Linked DNA regions of Drosophila melanogaster. The protein of the gene in region 1 purifies or fractionates together with the protein of each later gene. This does not show direct contact. Each region holds a gene or a part of one and is shown in the gene's direction. Other genes may lie near its edges.

What was found.
Region 2: the proteins of CG2685 (region 1) and sbr purify together in Drosophila melanogaster (affinity purification with western blotting, with the first as the bait; one study listed by BioGRID). This does not show direct contact.

What each region holds. Positions count from the first base shown.
Region 1 is NC_004354.4:2,711,134-2,715,823, reverse strand, and holds CG2685 (uncharacterized protein), read left to right. Parts: upstream 1-1,863; 5' UTR 1,864-2,082; coding exon 2,083-2,146; intron 2,147-2,202; coding exon 2,203-2,328; intron 2,329-2,392; coding exon 2,393-2,490; intron 2,491-2,553; coding exon 2,554-3,731; intron 3,732-3,801; coding exon 3,802-3,994; 3' UTR 3,995-4,068; downstream 4,069-4,690. Other genes in the region: CG2694 (uncharacterized protein), read right to left, coding at 1-310, 391-486, 544-1,047, 1,218-1,313, 1,371-1,536, 1,614-1,694; CG2681 (uncharacterized protein), read right to left, coding at 4,278-4,690.
Region 2 is NC_004354.4:10,843,785-10,848,979, reverse strand, and holds the start of sbr (small bristles), read left to right. Parts: upstream 1-1,887; 5' UTR 1,888-2,391; coding exon 2,392-2,488; intron 2,489-2,552; coding exon 2,553-2,713; intron 2,714-2,780; coding exon 2,781-2,873; intron 2,874-3,898; exon of another isoform or gene 3,899-4,060; coding exon of another isoform or gene 4,061-5,195. Other genes in the region: CG2202 (uncharacterized protein), read right to left, coding at 1-85; Pgls (6-phosphogluconolactonase), read right to left, coding at 499-615, 735-1,210, 1,342-1,480; CG32669 (uncharacterized protein), read left to right, coding at 4,061-5,195. UniProt on the Drosophila melanogaster protein: Mediates the export of the majority of mRNAs from the nucleus to the cytoplasm. In ovarian follicle cells, plays a role in transposable element silencing regulation by enabling the nuclear export of flamenco (flam) transcripts and subsequent piRNA biogenesis.

The sequences.
Region 1 (4,690 bases):
TCGACATAGACCATCGGAGGTGTTGCCTCCGGCGACGAGCGGCTGCCATCGGGGCTGAAGGCTAAGCTGGTGTTTCTAAAGCTACGCCGTTTGCGCTCCGTCCACTTGAGCTGATCGAAATCTTCTCCCTCATACTCATCGTCGTCGGCATCCAGTGACACCTCGTCGGAGTCCTCCTCGCCATCGCCCTTCGACTGGGAGGAGGAGGAGTAGTCAAACTGCTGGTTCGGACGTGAGACCACAACACGACCACTGCGCGTCACCACGGGTTGATTCGAGGAGATGTTCATCTCGTTCAGATTCTGGTAAGCTGCGTAGTAGCAATTTAGTAAATGGTTTAGCTAGAGCAGGTGCCCCTAAGGTTGCAGATCAATTCGACCTCTTACTCACAAATCTTTTTGGCCAACACATCGCCCTTGGTCTGCGGCGATCTGCGCTTCGCGCCCAGTTTGTGTGTCTTCATGTCGGTTTCAATGGCACTAGGATCTATTGCATTCGCAGTGTTATAATTATTATTGTTATTACTGATTGATCGGCACTCACTGCTGCTGCCCGAATCAAGTGAGAGATCGATGTATGAGGAGTCCTCGGTGAACTCCTTGCGCAGTTCTTCGAAGTCGGAGGAGTTACAGAGCTCGGACGAGTGAAGGAAGCTGCACGCCGTAGCTGAGGAATCATCGGACACTAGTATTATGCTTCCGCTGTCGCTGTTGACGGTCGCAACTGAAGCATTTTGATGGGCTTCCACCTGGGGCTGGGATTGGGGCGTCTTGCACGGCAACTTCAAATGAACCAGTGCCAATTCGGATTGACTGGCCGGCATGGGCGCTGGGTCGCAGCCAATCTGTGCGTTGTCATGGTCCTCTAGTTTCCAGTCCTGGAGCAGGCCGGCCAGAAGGATGTCCTCCGAATTGGCACTTGGCTTCGCGGACATTTCGAATGCGAAATCGAATTCGTTATTTTGTTTGCGGCTTTGACTTTTTTCGATTTGAGGTAGCGGCGTTATTTTCCTATCGTATATCGACACAAATTGCTCGAATGCCAGTGCTGAAAAACAACGGCACGAGAAGCTCTGTAAACGGCAATGTTGACTGATAGCGGGAAAGTTTGAGGCCGGTTATTGGGATGACTTAAAAAGCACAAGCACAGCTAGTTGCCTGCATGAATTTAGCTTGGGCTGCCCGATATCCCATATTCCCATAACCAGACCCACTTACCTTTTTTGGCGTTCGGCTCGTCGTCCCCGCAGCCTGGCCAGAGACGCTTCACGGCCAACTTCGGTGTCTTCCCCTCGCCATGAATGGAACCAGGACCTGCATCATGAAAACGAAATGAAAATGCAGGTGTCAAGTAGATAACATTGTTATTACCTATGTCCCACAGCTTGCGGCTGTGCAGGTTCTGCAATTTTGTGCTCTCCGTGGTGGGCACGTCCTTCTGGCCCTCTCCCGGCGTGGAGGTAAGGAAATCGTCTGAAATCCTTATCAGCGCGCCCGGTATCTGATTGGGTGTGAATAGGACATGGGATTGCGACGCCTTGCACGCGGTTACATGAAATCAACCAAATGGGCTTAGGATTGACTGACCTGGCTGGCGACTGGTTCACATCCTACCTGTACGCCACTATTGTTCAACTGTGCATTCATCCTTTCGTCCGGAATCTTTAACTGCTGTGCAGAGCTCTCGAATGCCATCGTACTGGCAATTTCGCGTCTGTTGCCGCGTTACCTATGTGGCGGTAATAATCGTCTATCGTTTTTCTAATCCTGGCTAGTGATGAAAAACATCGGAGAAAACTTTTGAGCGTATGGGATGTTAGCTATTCCCCGCCAAATTTTGTTGGTCACACTTCGAGCTCTAGTGCTTACTGTTCTGTTTTTATCGATATCAGCCTGCGCGTGTATCGGCCTATCGAGCTGCAAACGAATAAATAAATAAAAATATAAATAAATCAATTGAAAGTGATATTATAAAAGCAAATTAGGACGTTGGGCAGGAAAAAAACGCCGGTAACAATATTGCAGCGCCGGCGTTTAGGTGAAGTCATTCGTTTAGTTGCAGCAACAAGAAATAGCCAGCAAGATGGGACGCCGCTCCATAAACACCACGAAGAGTGGAAAGTACATGAATCCCACGGACCAGGCGCGTAAGTATGATCCTTTTTAGCTCGATATGTTGAATCCACCATGCTGCACCTTTCAGGCAAGGAGGCCCGCAAGAAGGAGCTCAAGAAGAACAAGAAACAGCGCCAAATGGTGCGGGCCGCCGTTTTGAAGAACAAGGATCCTTCACAGATACTTGAGGAGATGGAGAAGATCGACGAGATGGGTGAGTAGTCCATCGAGCCTGCAGGATTCGCGTCAGCCACTCATGCAGCGTCTACAATTTGCAGAGTACAACGTTCTGCAACCATCGCCGCTGAACGAGAAGGTGCTGCGCGACAAGCGCAAAAAGCTGAAGGAAACATTCGACCGCGTAATGCGACTCTATGTAAGACCAACTCGGCACGATAATAGTGTAGTCCACCTAACAACTGAAATATCCATCTTCCAGCACAATGACGAGCCGGAGCACTGGGCGGACCTCAAGCGCAAGGAGGTGGAGTATGAGAAGAAGCGCCTGAAGAAGCAGCAGTACTACGAAAGCGTTAAGCACGCCCAGAGCGTCCAGATTGACGAAATTCCACTGCCCGCTCCGGTGTCTGCCGTGTCAGGCGGTTCTACCGAAACGACTGGCGGATCGGTGGTTGCGGGATTCGGCGCATCCGTTGTCATACGCCTTCCCCCACCGCCCATGACAATGGCACTGCCGCCTTATGCTCCAGGCGCTCCACCAGGCGTGTCCAGAAATAGCGATTTAGCCAGCGAGGCGCAAGTGGAGAAATCGAAGGAGAACGAGCAAAAGGATTGGCTGGGTGTCCCGCCGGGACCGCCGCCAGATCTGTTTGCCTTTTCCGAACTCAATTCCGATGCCGAGGGAAATACTGACTACGATGGTGAGGGCGAGGAGGAGGAGCCAGAGCCATTGAAGAAGGGCAAGGATAAAGAGAAGGACAAGAACAGCGAGGCCACCGAGCCAAATAACCAAAATATCGACGACTTCATGAAGGAAATGGAGCATGTGCACAAGCGTAAGCATCGAAAACTGGCGGCTAAAGAGGACGAGGCCGACAAAAAGCGGGAGGAGGACGATGGGAAAGATATAGATAAGATAGAGGAACGAACATCTGACTCCGATAAGAGAACCGCCAGCAGTACGGACGATGAGGACGACGATGACCAGGATGAGGATGAAAATATGCCCGAAGTGCCGACCAAGCCAGCATCAGTCAAATCATCTACAGCGACACCCGCGCCAGCTCCTCCGACAGCGCCCACATTGCCGACTATTCCGCTGCCACCAGCGTCGTCTGTGCCTGCGCCGCCACAGCTGCCACACCTACCGCCAATTCCTAATCTTGGGCCACCTGGCATAATGTACCGACCTCCACCCATGCGACCTCCTCACCCGGGTTCCGGCTTTGGCATACGCATGCCACCTGGACCGCCGCCAGGACCCAGGGCACCGCATGGCCTGGGACCAATACCGCGCATGGGCATCAGGATGCCACCAGGACCGCCGCCAGGTCTGCCTCCGCGCCTTGCGCACCACAATAAGCAGGGAGGCGGCGCAGGTGCACCAAAGGAGTCAGCCAAGGGTGTGGCCACTATTACAGCCAAGCCACAAATCAGGTGGGTTCGATGACTTTCCGGCGCAGTAGAACCAATTCCCATTACTAAACATTCCAAACTTACTCATTAGGAATCTGAGTGCGGATGTCACCCGCTTTGTACCGTCCACGTTGCGAGTGAAGCGCGAGGATCAGCGACGCACGGCGAGGCCCAGGCATGCGGCCAACGATGGACACCACGCCCACTCCGAGGCGCACAGCAAGCCGCCCACCAAGGATGACGCCTATCTGCAGTTCATGAACGAGATGCAGGGCTTGCTGTAGCACGCAAAAGGAGTCGCGTAGTGGTAGCTGAGTAGTCTAAGTCCTAGATAAAACGTGTCATCCAAACCAATACCAAACCAAACTCGTTTCATTCGCAGCTTGCTACGGACTGAGATTCAAGTAACGAACGTGTGTGGAGTATAATTTGTTTTTTTTTTTTTATTTTTTATTTTATTTATTTCGGTTTTAGTACATATACAATAGATTAAAACATTTGCTATATTTACATGCTTTCAACTCTTGCGACTGTTGACGAATTAGAAAAGGCACACACACGGAATCACTACTTGCCATTGCTTTGGACCGGAGAGGTCGATCCATCCCTGACTGCCTTCTTGCTGAACGGGCGCAGCTCCACGATATCCGCCTTGAGTGCCCGGAAGCTTCTTCGCAGCGAATCCGACACCTTTTTCGTGTAACTCGTGCTGTTGCTGCACTGGGAGAGCTTATCGTCGCCATTTCCATTGCGCAGATCGGCGGCCAGCGGACGCAGCTCATCCTCCGCGGGCGTGGCATCGTTCAGAGTGTTCCGCAGATATTTCCGATTGAAGTGCAGCTGCGGTGTGCCCCACTTGCGCTCGAGCTCCACACCGCCGGCTCCGTCGGCTCCAATGGCCCCAGCGCCGTCGGCTGCAGCCGGATCCTCCTCCGAGTCCGGACTGGCCACATCCGCTTTGGTCACCTCGCCGATGGCCT
Region 2 (5,195 bases), 8.1 Mb from region 1:
AAACCAACTTGCTGACCGCCGGCTCAGTTTGCGCCTCCTGGCACGAACCCAACTCCAGCTGCGGCTGCGGCTGTGGCGTTGCCATGGCTGTTGCGCGTCCTTCGATCTTTGCTATTGCATGTGGGCATCGACAATTAGCACAATTGCTGCTGAATTTTCATAATTTTTCTTTTATTTTAACAATACGAAGCGTTTGTTGTGCTCGCGAGTGCCGTCATACTGGGTGCGCCATTTGTTGTGTTACCGAGTTCGGCCACACTGCGTAAATATCGATATTTTTCATGTTGCCGATAGCTTTTTTAAACCAGATTTGCATTTTACAAACATTTTCTAAACATTAAATAAATATATAAAGAAATTCAAAAATAATTGTAAAATCACAATATTTGGAGTGTTTATTTATTTTCTCCAACCTTAATAGCTCAACAAATTAAACGCTCTCGAAAAGATTATCAAGGTAATTATTATTTACAAGATGCGATAGTTAACTAAGGAATGTCATTTTAAGGTTTCAATTTCTTTTCCAGCACCCGCGTCCACAATCAATGTCAACTGCCCTTTGGTCGGATTCACCCACGCAGCGGGAAACTTCTTGTCCAGATCGACAAACACACTCTAAAAAATATAATAACAACAAAAATAAACCTTACAAATGAAGTTTTTGAATTGTGGTTAAAAATATCAGATTTCTTGCTCATATTCTTTTCCATCTTATCAAGCTAAAGAGACCTCACCTTGACGACACTGGCTTTTGCGGCGCCCGTAACCACGAAGGCGACATTCCGTGCCTTATTGATCAGCGGCAGGGTGAAAGTGATCCGCTCGGGAGGCGGCTTGGGCGAGTTCCGGATGGGGATAACCAGGCGCTTGGTCTCCTGCAGGGTGGCTGGCTGCTCGGGAAAGAGGGAGCAGGTGTGGCCATCGGGTCCCATGCCAAGCAGCAGCAGATCGAAGCGATCGACTTGACTTTTGACCTTCGCCTCGTAATCTGCGGCGCAGGCGTCCAGCGGTTGGCTGGTATCGGCGCGGACGAACTGGGATTCCTGGATGCAGGGCAATTGGGTTAGCCACTCGGCCCTGTAGGCACCATAGGTGGAATCGCTGTCATCCAGGCGAACATACCGCTCGTCACAGAAGAAAAACACCCATTTGGCCGTTTTTAAGTTGCACGATTTCAGGGCTTTCGTTAGCAACTGGACGAGGGAACCACCTGTAAGCGAAACAAGACACTTGACTTTGGGAGCACAAGTTTAAAGATCGCACCTGGCAAGGTCACCCCTCAAGTTTGGCTTATCACAAGCCAACCCACTTGACCTGCATGACCTGTGCGTTGATCCTTACCCGAAAGTCCCACGCTGAACTTATCATGTTTGGCCAGCGCCTCCTGGGAGCAGCGCTGGAGAAGATCGCCCAGGGCCTGGACAAGTTGCTCCTCCGAAGCGGACGGGATTACTTTTAGCGCACCCTTTTTCTCCGACATATTGCTTGATCTGATAATAAAACTCGACTCGACTTCGATTTGTCAGTAATCACCATTCCCTCTCTCAACTATCGATTACCAATTTATGAAATACATTGCACCGTTTGCGACAAAATGAAAGTAAGTAAATCTTATACGAAAACATTTCACTACCTCTATTCGTAAAATAACAACTTATTTGATATTGAGCAAAAAAGGAGTGTGTACGTGTGTGCTACAACTATATAATATTTAAAGTAAGAATGAGGTAACTCTCTTCAAAACAGTCCAATAAAATAATATTGCATTCTAAAGTTTAACTGCAACAAAACAAAAAATAGCCAATAATCTTTAGATTTATCGCGGTTGTTCTGCGCTAGAGTGTCATCACTGATTACGACCTGTGCGATAGTTGGCCCGCCATCATCGATAGACCTGTCAGAAATTAAGAAAACAATATCAACATCAAGCGAATATACTTCGCTCGCTACATATTTCTAGTTAGTTTTCGTAACTTTTTCGCTTTGGTGGCAATTAAATCAAATTTCCTCGAAGAATAACTTGTAAAAAGGTCGCAAACATCCGTCCAGTTTCTGCCAACCATCGGCCACTGGCTATCGAAAGAAGATCGCTAGTGAATTAAATTTCACAAAATTGCGTTGTACTTTGGCCGTGGAAATTTGCCAAAAAACAGCAGCTACTTTGCTGCTATATTAGCAAATAGGTTCAGGAAGTCGAGAAAAATTTTTCCAGAAGTTGGCAGCAGTTTGTGTGAATGCAAAAAATACATCGCACATAGTTTTTTGCCCTCAAGACAGTTTTCTCAGTAATAACAACAGCACCCACACAAACACACAACACCACTCAGCTAAAAACGTGCTGAAATTCGCATATCTTTTTGTTGCATACGTTTTTGAGTGAATATTAGTAAGATGCCCAAACGCGGCGGTGGCAGTAGCCAGCGGTACAACAACAACGTTGGAAATGGCGGCGGACGTTACAACGCTCCCGAGGATTTCGATGATTTTGGTCAGTACACGGGAGTGCAAGAAAATGAACCCTCCAGTAACCTAAATATAATGTATTCCTATAGATGTGGAGGATCGCCAGCGACGCAAGGATCGAAACAAGCGGCGCGTCAGCTTTAAGCCCTCCCAATGTCTACATAACAAAAAGGACATCAAGCTGCGACCCGAAGATTTGCGTCGATGGGACGAGGATGATGACATGAGCGACATGACCACGGCCGTTAAGGTGCCCACCAACCCCACATGTTATCCCTATGCACATTTCTAATCTAATGTATAATTAATTCCAACAGGATAGACCCACCTCCCGACGTCGGGGATCGCCCATTCCGCGCGGCAAGTTCGGCAAACTGATGCCCAACAGCTTTGGCTGGTACCAAGTCACGGTGAGTTTGGACTACCATGTCATATAGATATCATAGCCGCAATGGCCCAGACCAAAATCATGTGATTTAATAGTAGTTTTATTACTAAGCTAAAGAAGCAAAAGCATTCAGTCCTCCAGCACCTGTTAGATTTATAACGTTCGCCATTATACAAATTAATCGACTGTTCTACTGGATGGCTCTTCTTATGCGAAGTACATATATGTTAAATGTAGTTTTAAGTATTTAGATTACTAACGTCACATAAAACTTCCAGAAGTTTGCTCCAGTGCTCTACTAATTTCCCGCCCCTACATAGAACTACAAACCCCAGACTGGTCCATATAGATACCAGATTTACGACAGCAGTCATAGAACTATTTTTGGTCTCCAAGAACATCATGTGATTCGTCTGATGGCTTTTTTTTTTTGTTATTGGCAAAAGATCGCGTTGAGGGAGCAAAGTATCCGGCAAGAATCGCATAAGTTACAGCGAAATGTTGAGACTTATTTGTTTATTTGTACACTGCTTCCAAAGCTCCAATGCCGACTTGCCGACTGGGCTCTTTGTGTTTATTAATTAATTTCCCTCGTAAAAATCGTAAAGCAAACAAGCCAAAGTTGGGCCGGGGGGATACCAGCTCTACACAGCTAACGACAATCGGGTACTACAATTACAATTGCAATCCGACGAGCGGGCAAATAAATATTTATGGATGGCTAAACACAGTCGTCCACAGTACCAGCCACAAGTGTTTGTCGGCACGAGCTAAAAGTGCAATGAAGTCGAGCCTTTGGTGGTTTGACAGTTGCCATGACCCTCACCTAAATGGTTTCCCATTTTAAGGGCTTGCGGGCCTGCGGTTGGGTTATCCTTCGCCTGGTTGTCACCCTATCCAGCCGCACGTGGTGCAACACAACAGGTCGCTATCTCTCGACGGGGTCGTAAATGCCATAGTAAAATGCCCAATGCTGACTCTCCACCAACAAAAGCTTGCGGTTTCATTCCGTTTGGGCCTTTATTTCATCGACGGCCGGCAGACGGTGAAGACGTGTTCCAACGTCCGACGCCCCATAGAATATATCGCTTGAATCTCAAGAGGCCCGATTAGGGGCAACTTATCAGTTTGGAGTGATTAGATGTGCGACTAGGGTTCCGTCGGGAAAATCAGCCTAACACGTGCCCCACTTAAAACCCGGCATCTGCAATGGCTACTTTGGGCGCCTGGGACTACACGATCCTGGCGGTGGTGCTGATCATCTCCGTTGCGATTGGCATCTACTACCGTTTCGTGGGCGGCAAGCAGAGCACCACCACCGAATATCTTCTGGCGGATCGTTCCATGAACGTGGCGCCTGTGGCCTTTAGCCTGATGGCCAGTTTCATGTCGGCCGTCACCATATTGGGCGTATCCATGGAGAACTACCAGTACGGTACAATGTTCGTCGTGATCAATCTGTCGTATGTGTTGTCCACGCCGGTGGCCGCCTACCTCATCATTCCGGTCTTCTATCGCCTAAAGACGGCCAGTGTGTACGAGTATCTGGAACTGCGGTTTGGCTATGCCACCCGATTGGCCGCCTCGCTGAGCTTCTCGCTCCAGATGGTCCTATACATGGGCATTGTGGTCTATGCGCCGGCTCTGGCCCTGGAAGCTGTCACTGGACTGAGCCAGGTCTTCTCCATCGTAATTGTTGGAGTCGTGTGCACGTTCTATGCGACGCTCGGCGGAATGAAGGCCGTACTCATCACGGACATCTATCAGTCGCTCCTCATGTTCGCCGCTGTCTTCAGTGTAATCATCTGTGCCTGGGTGAAGGCGGGCAGCTTGGAGGTGATATGGCGCGTGGCGCAGGAAAACGGACGCATCAATCTGACCAACTTCAGTGTGGATCCAACGGAACGTCACACTTGGTTCACCCAGATTTTAGGCGGATGTGCCACCTATTTGGCCATCTATGGTGTGAATCAAACGCAGGTCCAGCGCCTGATGGCGGTGAAGAGTTTGAGTGCCGCTCGAGCGGCCCTGTGGTGGTGCCTGCCCATTCTGTGCCTGCTTAGTCTGAGCACCTGTTTCTCCGGTCTGTGCATCTACTGGTACTACCGCGACTGTGACCCGCTGCTGGAGGGTAGAGTCAACTCGCGCGATCAAGTGATGCCGCTCTTTGTCGTGGACACGATGGGCGAATACACCGGTTTGGCTGGCCTCTTCGTTTCGGGAATCTTTTGCGCCAGCCTCTCCACGATTAGTTCGATAATCAGCTCGCTGGCAGCCGTCACCCTGGAGGATTACCTCAAGCCCTTGGTCAGCTGCTGTGCCAAACGCACGCTCACCGACCGTC